Drosophila melanogaster: one gene and its partner. The protein of the gene in region 2 interacts with the protein of the main gene of each other region in a pairwise test. Each region holds a gene or a part of one and is shown on either strand. Other genes may lie near its edges. The genes, in order: Ubc84D and CG3999.

Region 1 (3,029 bases), 2.7 Mb from region 2:
TACATGGATTTTATTAAAACCGTGTTTACAGATAGAATTTTGTAATATATTTCGTACGTCAACACTAGCCCAGAATCGTATTCTAGGCTTTTCAAAGGCTTGTTTTACAATTCCTTTAGTTTTTGTGTTCTATTGGTATATATCTATTGGTACTCGCTATAATCGGCAGCAGACTTTTATTATCGTGTATATATGAAAGTATGTTATTATCCTTCGCAGACGCTACTGGTACGCTTCGTCACTACGTGGACTACCTGACGTCCAAAGTGATGAATGTGGTCAATATTTGATAGCTTATGCGTATATGTGTAACTGTATTAGGTAAATATGATTGCTATAATTACCAATACGATATTGCCAAATGCGGTTGCCTGTTGTTACTGTTAATGATACATTAATGTAATTTGATTAAATTCGTTACTCGTAGACAAAGGGGTATATCAAGTAATAGGTATCAATTATATGTGTACATATATAGGATCAATATCCGAGTGAACTCGGGAACTATAATGGCTAGAAATGGGAAATCAAGCATGCAGATTCTACAGGCGCTGAAGCACAAGTTTTCTTTAGTAGATTGCTAGACACCGGCCACAATCACCGCCAAGTAGCCAAGAGTTGGCTACGATTGTAGCAATAAACCAACAACATGTATTCCACGCTTACCAACGGCCACAATTTTTTTACCTCAATTTTGAAAAATATTTTGAATTTCTTTTTAACTGTACTTTTTTTCTTGCCCATTTTTTTTATCGAATTACCGTCCATTTAATGCGCCATACATATATCTTAGCGAACATTCAAAATATGGACAACTTATGTCTGACAAGTTTTAATTGATGGTCCAAACTATATATAATTTTGATATACAAATAAATGTGAGCTGCGGCTGACTTCACTCTGGTCGCTTCTCCGCATTCTTCTTGGTGAACTCTTCGGCCGTCTTCATGAACTTCTTGTGCTCCCTTACGAACTCCTCGGCCAGGTCAGAACGAAGCGGATGTTCTGGCTCCGGGTTGTGGACGATGGCTACCAGGGCCTGGAGCACCTGCTCTGTGCGCGTTGTGGGCTTCCAGTTGTCTGTGCTGATGATGGGCAGGCACACCTCCCCCTTCTCATCCACGTTGGGGTGATAGATTTTCGTCTTGAATAGGATCTTTGGTGGCATAAAGGGATACTGGGGCGGGAAGTTGATTTCGATGCGGAAGGCGCCCTTGTTGTAGGGCGCCTTTTCCGGAACCAAAAGACCCGTCCACATCAGCAGGGACTCATCGCTACTCTCGATGTTGCGCAGAGTGCTCATCTTGGCCTCAACCAGATCGGAGAGTTCCCGTGTCAGACGACGAGTGGCAGCCATTCTATCAACGGGATCAGAGTTCCTTTCCTTTGTTTTCCCTAGATCTCGGAAAAAAACTTGTTAATTTAAAAAAGTCTAAAAATTTAATTTTCCTATTGCTATTGACAGTAAAGTCAAAAGGGCATGTCGAACATTGTTTTTATATTCAAACTTATTAAGAAGTTATCAAGCATTTAAATAAATGGCGTAAACTGAGGTAAATATAGAGATAAATAGAAATATATATTTTTAAATCTCACCTAAACTAGGATTTCTCATCCACATGCAATCATTGGGCAAACTAGTTATAAAGCAAAACAATCCAATTGCAGAATATATTTTATAAAGCATTTTGACCTATTTACAGTTTCTAGAGACTTCTTTGTTAGGCTGTACAGAACAGTAAGTTAAATTTAAAACAATAAATCTTTGTTGTCGTCATAGAGGCTCTCCCAGACCTTCAATTTGGGCCACTCAGGCAGATCGATGAACTTCAGGTCATCACTGATGTTGAGGCACTTGATGACCTCGTCGGATTTGCGAACTGGATCAATGGTCAGAGTGTCCATACCGTTGATCTTCTCGCTGTAGGGATTACCCGTGGCAGCAAACTGGGTCCAGATGCCCACGGTTCGTTCGATGTTCCTGTACTCGCGACTTTCCTTCGGCAACCGGCGAGCCAGCAGGCTGCTGAATTGGTAGCTCAAATCGTCGGCATGGCTGACCCCCTTGACACCGCGTCCCAACCGCATAATGCGGTACGGAAAAATGAGCTCCTCGGAGTCGAAGTCATATCGATAGAAATATACTGGAGCTCCAGCCGCGTACGCGTGTCGGGAATGGACCACCCTCAGGGCCGGAAACACGAAGTAGTAAATCGAACAGAGCTGAAATAAATTACCAGCTTATGATTATGTAAGCACCTAATTGGACGACACTTACATCCATGTAATTATCTGGGGTGCTTTCTGAGCCAGTGCGATGAACATCTCGAATCTGTGCACTCCACGAATCCAGTTTTTCTTTACTGGGCTCCGTGGCCAGCAATTCTTTGGGAATGAAAGGTGTGCCAGCATCAAGCTGCTGCAGCACCTGCGGCATAAGCTTTACCTCTGTGAAATAAAATTAAATTTACTTATTGAAAGAAAATTCAAAAAAATTCCCAATATCTAACCTGGAACCCACAGCAGGCCCTCGTACGAAGTGTTTCCTATAAACATGGGGATGGAGTTACTCCAGGCGGTCTTCATCATCTCCTTTGGAGGCTTGGATATCACACATTCGGGCGTGGAGAATGGTTCCAGGGATGGGCCAAAGGCAAACATTATCTTGTTCATGCGTTCCTCCAGTGTCAGGACATTTTCCTCCACGCGAATAAGATCCTTGGCCTTTACGTTCTGCAAGAACTCCAGCACATCCTTGTCGTTGTCCTCGCCCTTGTAGCCAACCAGCTTGGCTATCCTGTAGGGATTATGGGTAATGTCGCCGTTGTAGGCCCAAGGACAAATGGCACTGCCCGACTGCAAGATGCCGCGATGAAAGAGCCCTTGGGTCTGATCGGTTAGCATCATGTAGTGAGTGGAGGCGCCTCCAGCACTCTCTCCAAAAACAGTGATGCAGTTGGGATCTCCGCCGAAACTAGCGCAATTGTTCTTGATCCACTTGAGGGCCAGCACCTGATCCTTGAGGCCAG
Region 2 (6,432 bases):
CCCTCGGCCAGCAACTTTTCCTATTTGAATCCGGGTTCGGGCTCGGGTTCGGGCATCTCGTCAATTTCGCCGCGCGCCAGTTGCTCGGATCTTCGTTCCACCACCAGCGGCCCTACATCCACCAGTACCACCTCCGTAACCACCTCTTCATATGTACCCTACAATTTCACCAGCTCTTTCACATCTCGCTTAAACGATCCCATTATCACTTCCACTACCAGTGCAGTTAGCACTAGTTCCCTTACCCATTCCACGGGGGTCTACAATCCCATGATGTCGTTCACACTGAGGGAACCACTAGCCAGCAGTTCCCTGGGTGGTTCAAGTGCCTCTCCATTGCTACCGTTTCAGTTTAACAGAACTTTCACTTCCAACTTCGACAAGGAACAGAACAAACAATAGAAGGATGCACATCAAACATTAACCAAAGGTTGTCCATACACATTACAAAGCTCCCATTGAAGATTCAAAACATTGAAAAGAAATCAAGCTCAAAGCACTGAGAGAAAAATCTGTCTAAAACAATTTAATTATTCTACTCCTATTCGAATTTTTTCATTTTTGTGGTTCTGAAAATATTAAATAATCAACAATTATCTTAAAGTTAACAGGTTGCCACTTTCCCAACTGTTCTTATACCATGTTTGCTGATTTTAGTTAGGTTTTTATCTCAGTCAGCCTAACTTTCGCTAAGCAATATAAATATAGTAAATATAATTAACAGTTTTAGGCAAATAAATACCTAAACACATATATATCTACAAATATATACAAACCTTGCAAATCGGATATTTATTCTTCAAGCAACTCTTGCACCAAACCATTTTGGCTTCTTGCAACTTACCTCATCTACATTGACAGCACCAGCAACTCAACTAATCATAACTTAGCAAAGATTTTTATACAATATATATCTACGTATATACAAAGAATATAGCTATCGAAACCGTAACCGAATGCGACGAGGAGGGCAAGGCAAGATGTTAATATCCAACTTTTTTTCAGCGTTAACAAAAGTTTAGCCTCTAATTCCTTGAACAACTTTAACTTTAGAACACTCAATTAACCTTAAACTTTTCCTTAAAATGAACTAATCAATTAACATGGTTTACACTAGCCAACAAAAACCCAAGAAAACAATATACAAACACACACACACACTTTGAAACGGTGTAAAACTTTAAGTGCATTTTTGGGCCGAGTTAGTCGAGGATGCTAAACATAATGATTATTCATAACTGACTGACACAAGCCGTAAAATTAGTTTAACAACATTGTTAAATACACACGCAGCCATATATGATGTACCTATACCAATTGAACGATATATATTGTATTTAATTAAATACCAATTGCAGTTGTTGAATTTCAATTATGCAAAAGACACAATAACGACTATGAATAAGCAAGAGAAAGCAAGCCCGAATGCAAATGGTTATAGAAAAAATTATCAATCTCGGCTGAGGAGCCGAAAGTTAATCAAAACGATTAGGAAAATTTTATGACAAGTATTTCGATTCGAAAACGGCAAGATACCAGGATACTACCAAATGCAATTGTTACGTAGACAAAATGACGATAACGGCTTCAGTTTATATAACCATAAATTAAATATTAATTAATGTTCTCTTCAATTTTGTTACCCAATTTTGTTGTGATGCTTTTCCTGTTATTAAGACACGTTTGTACGCCATTTATGTTATTGTTTAAAATCAAACACAATCTAATTAATTGGTAATACAAAAAAAAAAGTAGTAAGAATATTTTTATTACAAATTGTTGAAGAGTTTTAAGTTTTGAAATAAAAAGAAAATATTTAAAATCGCACTTGACTTTGTATTTGGGAGGGTTAAACATTTCTATCAATCGGAGAGAACAACTGATAAGCCGAGATGATCGTCACACTCGCCTTATCATCTGAAATGGAAAAATCTTTCCAGCCAGAGATCAGTCATCTATTGAAAACCGCGTGGAGTGGACGTGCCTTAGTTTATTGGATTAAACCTTACCATGCAGCGATTTTTGGGAAGGAGCAGCCAAAGCCTTTTGCTAAGATGTGGTCATCGCTATCTGGCCACCACTCCTGTGGAGGAGGTCATATTTCCCACCAAATCGGATTTTCCCAGTCGTCATATTGGGCCTCGAAAGACGGATGTGGTGGCCATGTTGGATACTTTGGGCTTCAAGGTAGGAAGGTCACCAAAAAGCTTAGTTTAGATCATATTTCATAGCAGAGCGGTTGAACAAACCATTTTGGAATCCGAAATTTCCAGATTTGGATCAAGCCAAGTTTAATTTTTACCACCATTATCATTTTAGTCCCTGGCGGAGCTCACAGAGAAAGCTGTGCCCCAGAGCATTCAACTGAAGAGGGAACTCGACCTGGACAAACCTCTGAGTAAGTAGCGCTACGTTTGAATCCTAAAATAGCTGAAAAACAAGGCAGTAAGGCAATGGACCCCCTGGCGTGTTCGCAGCCGCTGATAACCGGGGTGATAAGCCCGGTTCAGCGAGGTCTCTCCCAGTTATCAGTGTTTTGACTGCCGCTTGATCTTCGATTTTTCGTCTGCGTCTGGCTGACAACAATTTTCCATTCTGCAGATGAGCACGAGCTAATCCGCCGAATTCGCGACATCTCGCTAAAGAATCAACTGTGGCGCTCCTACATCGGAATGGGTTACCACAACTGCCATGTGCCGCACACCATTATCCGGAATATGTTCGAGAATCCGGGTTGGACCACTCAGTACACCCCGTACCAGCCGGAAATCGCCCAGGGACGCTTGGAGTCGCTGCTGAACTATCAGACCCTGGTAACCGATCTCACCGGCTTGGATGTGGCCAATGCCTCGCTATTGGACGAGGGAACCGCTGCTGCCGAGGCCATGTGCCTGGCCACCAGGCACAACAAGCGCAAAAAGCTCTACCTGTCGAACAGGGTGCATCCCCAGACGCTGTCCGTAGTCAAGACGCGAACGGAAGCCTTGGAGCTGGAAATCGTGGTGGGACCTATTGAACAGGCGGATCTGCCAAGCCGCGAATTGGCTGGCATTCTTCTCCAGTATCCAGATACTTATGGTGATGTCAAGGACTTCGAGGATATCGCAGCTTTGGCAAAGAAAAATGGGGTAAGTTGAAATATTTATTTATACATAAGAATATACAACAAAAAAATCAGAAAACTTGAACTTGAACTTGACTATAGCGTTCTCTTCTGTTTTTATTAAGACCCTCGTGGTGGTGGCGACCGATTTGTTGTCGTTAACCCTTCTGCGTCCTCCGGCGGAATTTGGAGCTGATATTGCAGTGGGAACCTCCCAGCGATTGGGAGTTCCTCTGGGATACGGTGGCCCCCATGCCGGATTTTTTGCCTGCAAGCAGAGCTTGGTGCGGCTAATGCCGGGAAGGATGATTGGCGTGACCAGGGATATGGACGGAAACGATGCCTATCGTCTGGCCCTGCAAACCAGGGAGCAGCATATCCGGCGGGATAAGGCAACAAGTAACATTTGCACGGCACAGGCTCTTCTGGCCAACATGTCGGCCATGTACGCCATCTACCACGGTCCGGAGGGTCTGAAAGCCATGGCCAATCGCATCCACCATTTCACGTTGACCCTTCAAACGGGTGTCCTGGGAGCGGGTCACGAAGTGATCAACAAGAACTTCTTCGACACACTTCACATTAGACTGGGTGGAGGTCAATCCCTTGAGGATCTCAAAGAGCGTGCCGAGCACAAGCGCATTAATCTCCGATATCTTGAAGATGACACTGTTGGCGTGGCCCTTGATGAAACGGTCAGTGTAGCCGATGTGGACGATCTGTTGTGGGTCTTCAAGGCAGAGGCATCTGTGGAACACATTCTGGCGCGTAAAGATGTCCTTAAGAACTCGATTGAGAACTCCAAGTTCCTGCGCACTTCGCCCTATCTGCAGCACCCTATTTTCCAGAGCTATCACAGGTAAATGATTAATAAACTCTAGAAATCATTCAACTTTAATGCGCTTCCTTCGCCACAGCGAGTCCCGCATGGTGCGCTACATGAAAAAGCTGGAGAATAAGGACATCTCCCTGGTGCACTCCATGATCCCCCTGGGATCCTGCACTATGAAGCTGAACTCCACCACCGAGATGATGCCTTGTTCCTTCCGCCACTTCACCGATATCCATCCTTTTGCGCCGGTGGAACAAGCCCAGGGATTCCATCAGATGTTCAAGGAACTGGAGCATGACCTATGCGAGATTACAGGATACGATCGTATCTCCTTCCAGCCGAACTCGGGGGCCCAAGGAGAATATGCCGGACTGAGAGCCATCAGGAGCTACCATGAACACCGAAATGAAGGACACAGAAATATTTGTCTGATTCCAATTTCTGCCCACGGCACAAATCCAGCTTCTGCACAAATGGCGGGTATGAAGGTGGAGCCTATTAGAATTTTGTCGAATGGTTCCATCGACATGGCACACCTAAGAGCTAAGGCAGAGGAGCACGCCCACGAGTTGTCCTGCCTAATGATTACCTATCCATCGACAATGGGCGTGTTCGAGGAAACGGTTGCCGATATTTGCACCCTGATCCACAAGCATGGCGGACAGGTGTACCTGGATGGAGCCAACATGAATGCCCAGGTTGGGCTGTGTCGACCTGGAGATTATGGCAGCGATGTTTCGCATCTCAACCTGCACAAGACCTTCTGCATTCCGCATGGTGGTGGTGGTCCTGGAATGGGTCCCATCGGCGTGAAAGCCCATTTGGCACCATACCTTCCTGGTCATCCTGTTGTCAGTCCGTTGAGCAGCGAGGAGCACAGTTTTGGAGTCGTATCCGCCGCTCCCTTCGGAAGCTCTGCCATTTTGCCCATATCCTGGTCGTACATTAAACTCATGGGCAGCAGGGGTTTGAAGAGAGCTACCCAGGTGGCCATTCTCAATGCAAACTACATGTCCAAGAGGCTGGAGCAGCATTACAAGACTCTCTACAAGGCACCCAACTCTCAGCTGGTTGCGCATGAGTTCATTTTGGATATACGCGACCTGAAGAAATCGGCCAATATCGAGGCAGTGGATGTGGCCAAGCGACTCATGGATTACGGCTTCCATGCACCAACTATGTCTTGGCCCGTCGCTGGAACCCTGATGATCGAGCCCACTGAATCGGAGGATAAGGAGGAGTTGGATAGGTTCTGTGATGCCATGATTTCCATTCGAGAGGAGATTGCCGAGATCGAGGCGGGTCGCATGGACAAGGCAGTCAATCCACTGAAGATGTCTCCTCACACCCAAGCTCAGGTGATCTCGGATAAGTGGGATCGACCATATACACGGGAGCAGGCTGCCTTCCCCGCCGTAAGTCCATTGCATTATTGAATAATTATTCTATTTAACTGTATTTCAATTTTTATTACAGATCTTTGTAAAACCAGATGCCAAGATCTGGCCCACTGTGGGCAGGATCGATGATGCCTATGGTGACAAGCACCTTGTGTGTACCTGTCCGCCAATACTGCCTGATTTATAAGGCACTTCAGTTCTAAGACCAAACAATCAATTTATATTACACTACTTTTTAAATAAACCCCTTGAACGTATCTTTTATATAAGAAGGTTCTTTATTTTTCGTTGATAAATTAATTATCTAAAAAAATCATATATGGTACATTTAGCAATCAATAAAGCTTCACATTTATTTAAAACTAATTAAAATTAACTTATAAAATACCTCAAAGTAATGAAGTAATTGCGTGCTAAATGCATTGTGTTTCTAACGAGCTTTTTAGATATTAGTAACTTTAAACATTTGACTTACGTGTACTTTGTTTTCTTAGCTTTAGATTCAATTTTTGAGTCTTTTACATACTTTTTGTTGTTGGGGAGCCCCAGGATGGGTGCCATCCATTAAAATCTCCCGTAATTAGAGAGGGTGTTTGTTGTATGTTAAATGTGTTATGGAGTGTCTGGTTAGTTATGTTTTTGGTCGGAGAAATGTATGTGGAAAATATGTTTAATTTAAGTTTAGATTCTATATTTATGGCTATTGCTTCTATATCGATTGTTATGTTGAGGACAGTGTGTTGTATTGACTTATGCACTAGTAGTGCTACGCCCCCAAATCTGTTGGTGGCAATATTTGTTAATAGTTTGTAGTTTATTGGGGTTGGAATGTTATTAGTGTATTGTATATGGGTTTCTTGGAGGGAAATTATGTGGGGGGAGTATTTTTTGATTAGAATAAGGAGATGGCTGTAGTTGTTTAGATATCCTTTTAGATTCCATTGGATTATAGTTAGGGACATTTGTGAGAAAATTAAAGCTTATAACTTACTTAAAGGTAGTGTTAACGGTTAGGGTTTTGTGTAGAGTTCTATATGGATTCGCTGTCGCTGTTGTTAGTGTGCTTGTTTTTGTGGGCTTTGGCCTTTAGTTTTGAT

The links.
Region 1: the proteins of CG3999 (region 2) and Ubc84D interact in a two-hybrid assay, tested with the Drosophila melanogaster proteins (one large-scale study listed by BioGRID).

What each region holds. Positions count from the first base shown.
Region 1 is NT_033777.3:7,518,002-7,521,030, forward strand, and holds Ubc84D (ubiquitin conjugating enzyme 84D), read right to left. Parts: upstream 1,456-3,029; 5' UTR 1,358-1,455; coding exon 896-1,357; 3' UTR 819-895; downstream 1-818. Other genes in the region: alpha-Est7 (alpha-Esterase-7), read right to left, coding at 1,750-2,223, 2,279-2,448, 2,511-3,029. UniProt on the Drosophila melanogaster protein: Catalyzes the covalent attachment of ubiquitin to other proteins.
Region 2 is NT_033777.3:10,249,570-10,256,001, forward strand, and holds CG3999 (uncharacterized protein), read left to right. Parts: upstream 1-1,948; 5' UTR 1,949-2,010; coding exon 2,011-2,187; intron 2,188-2,319; coding exon 2,320-2,398; intron 2,399-2,601; coding exon 2,602-3,128; intron 3,129-3,228; coding exon 3,229-3,962; intron 3,963-4,020; coding exon 4,021-5,350; intron 5,351-5,411; coding exon 5,412-5,522; 3' UTR 5,523-5,699; downstream 5,700-6,432. Other genes in the region: CG42795 (uncharacterized protein), read left to right, coding at 1-402.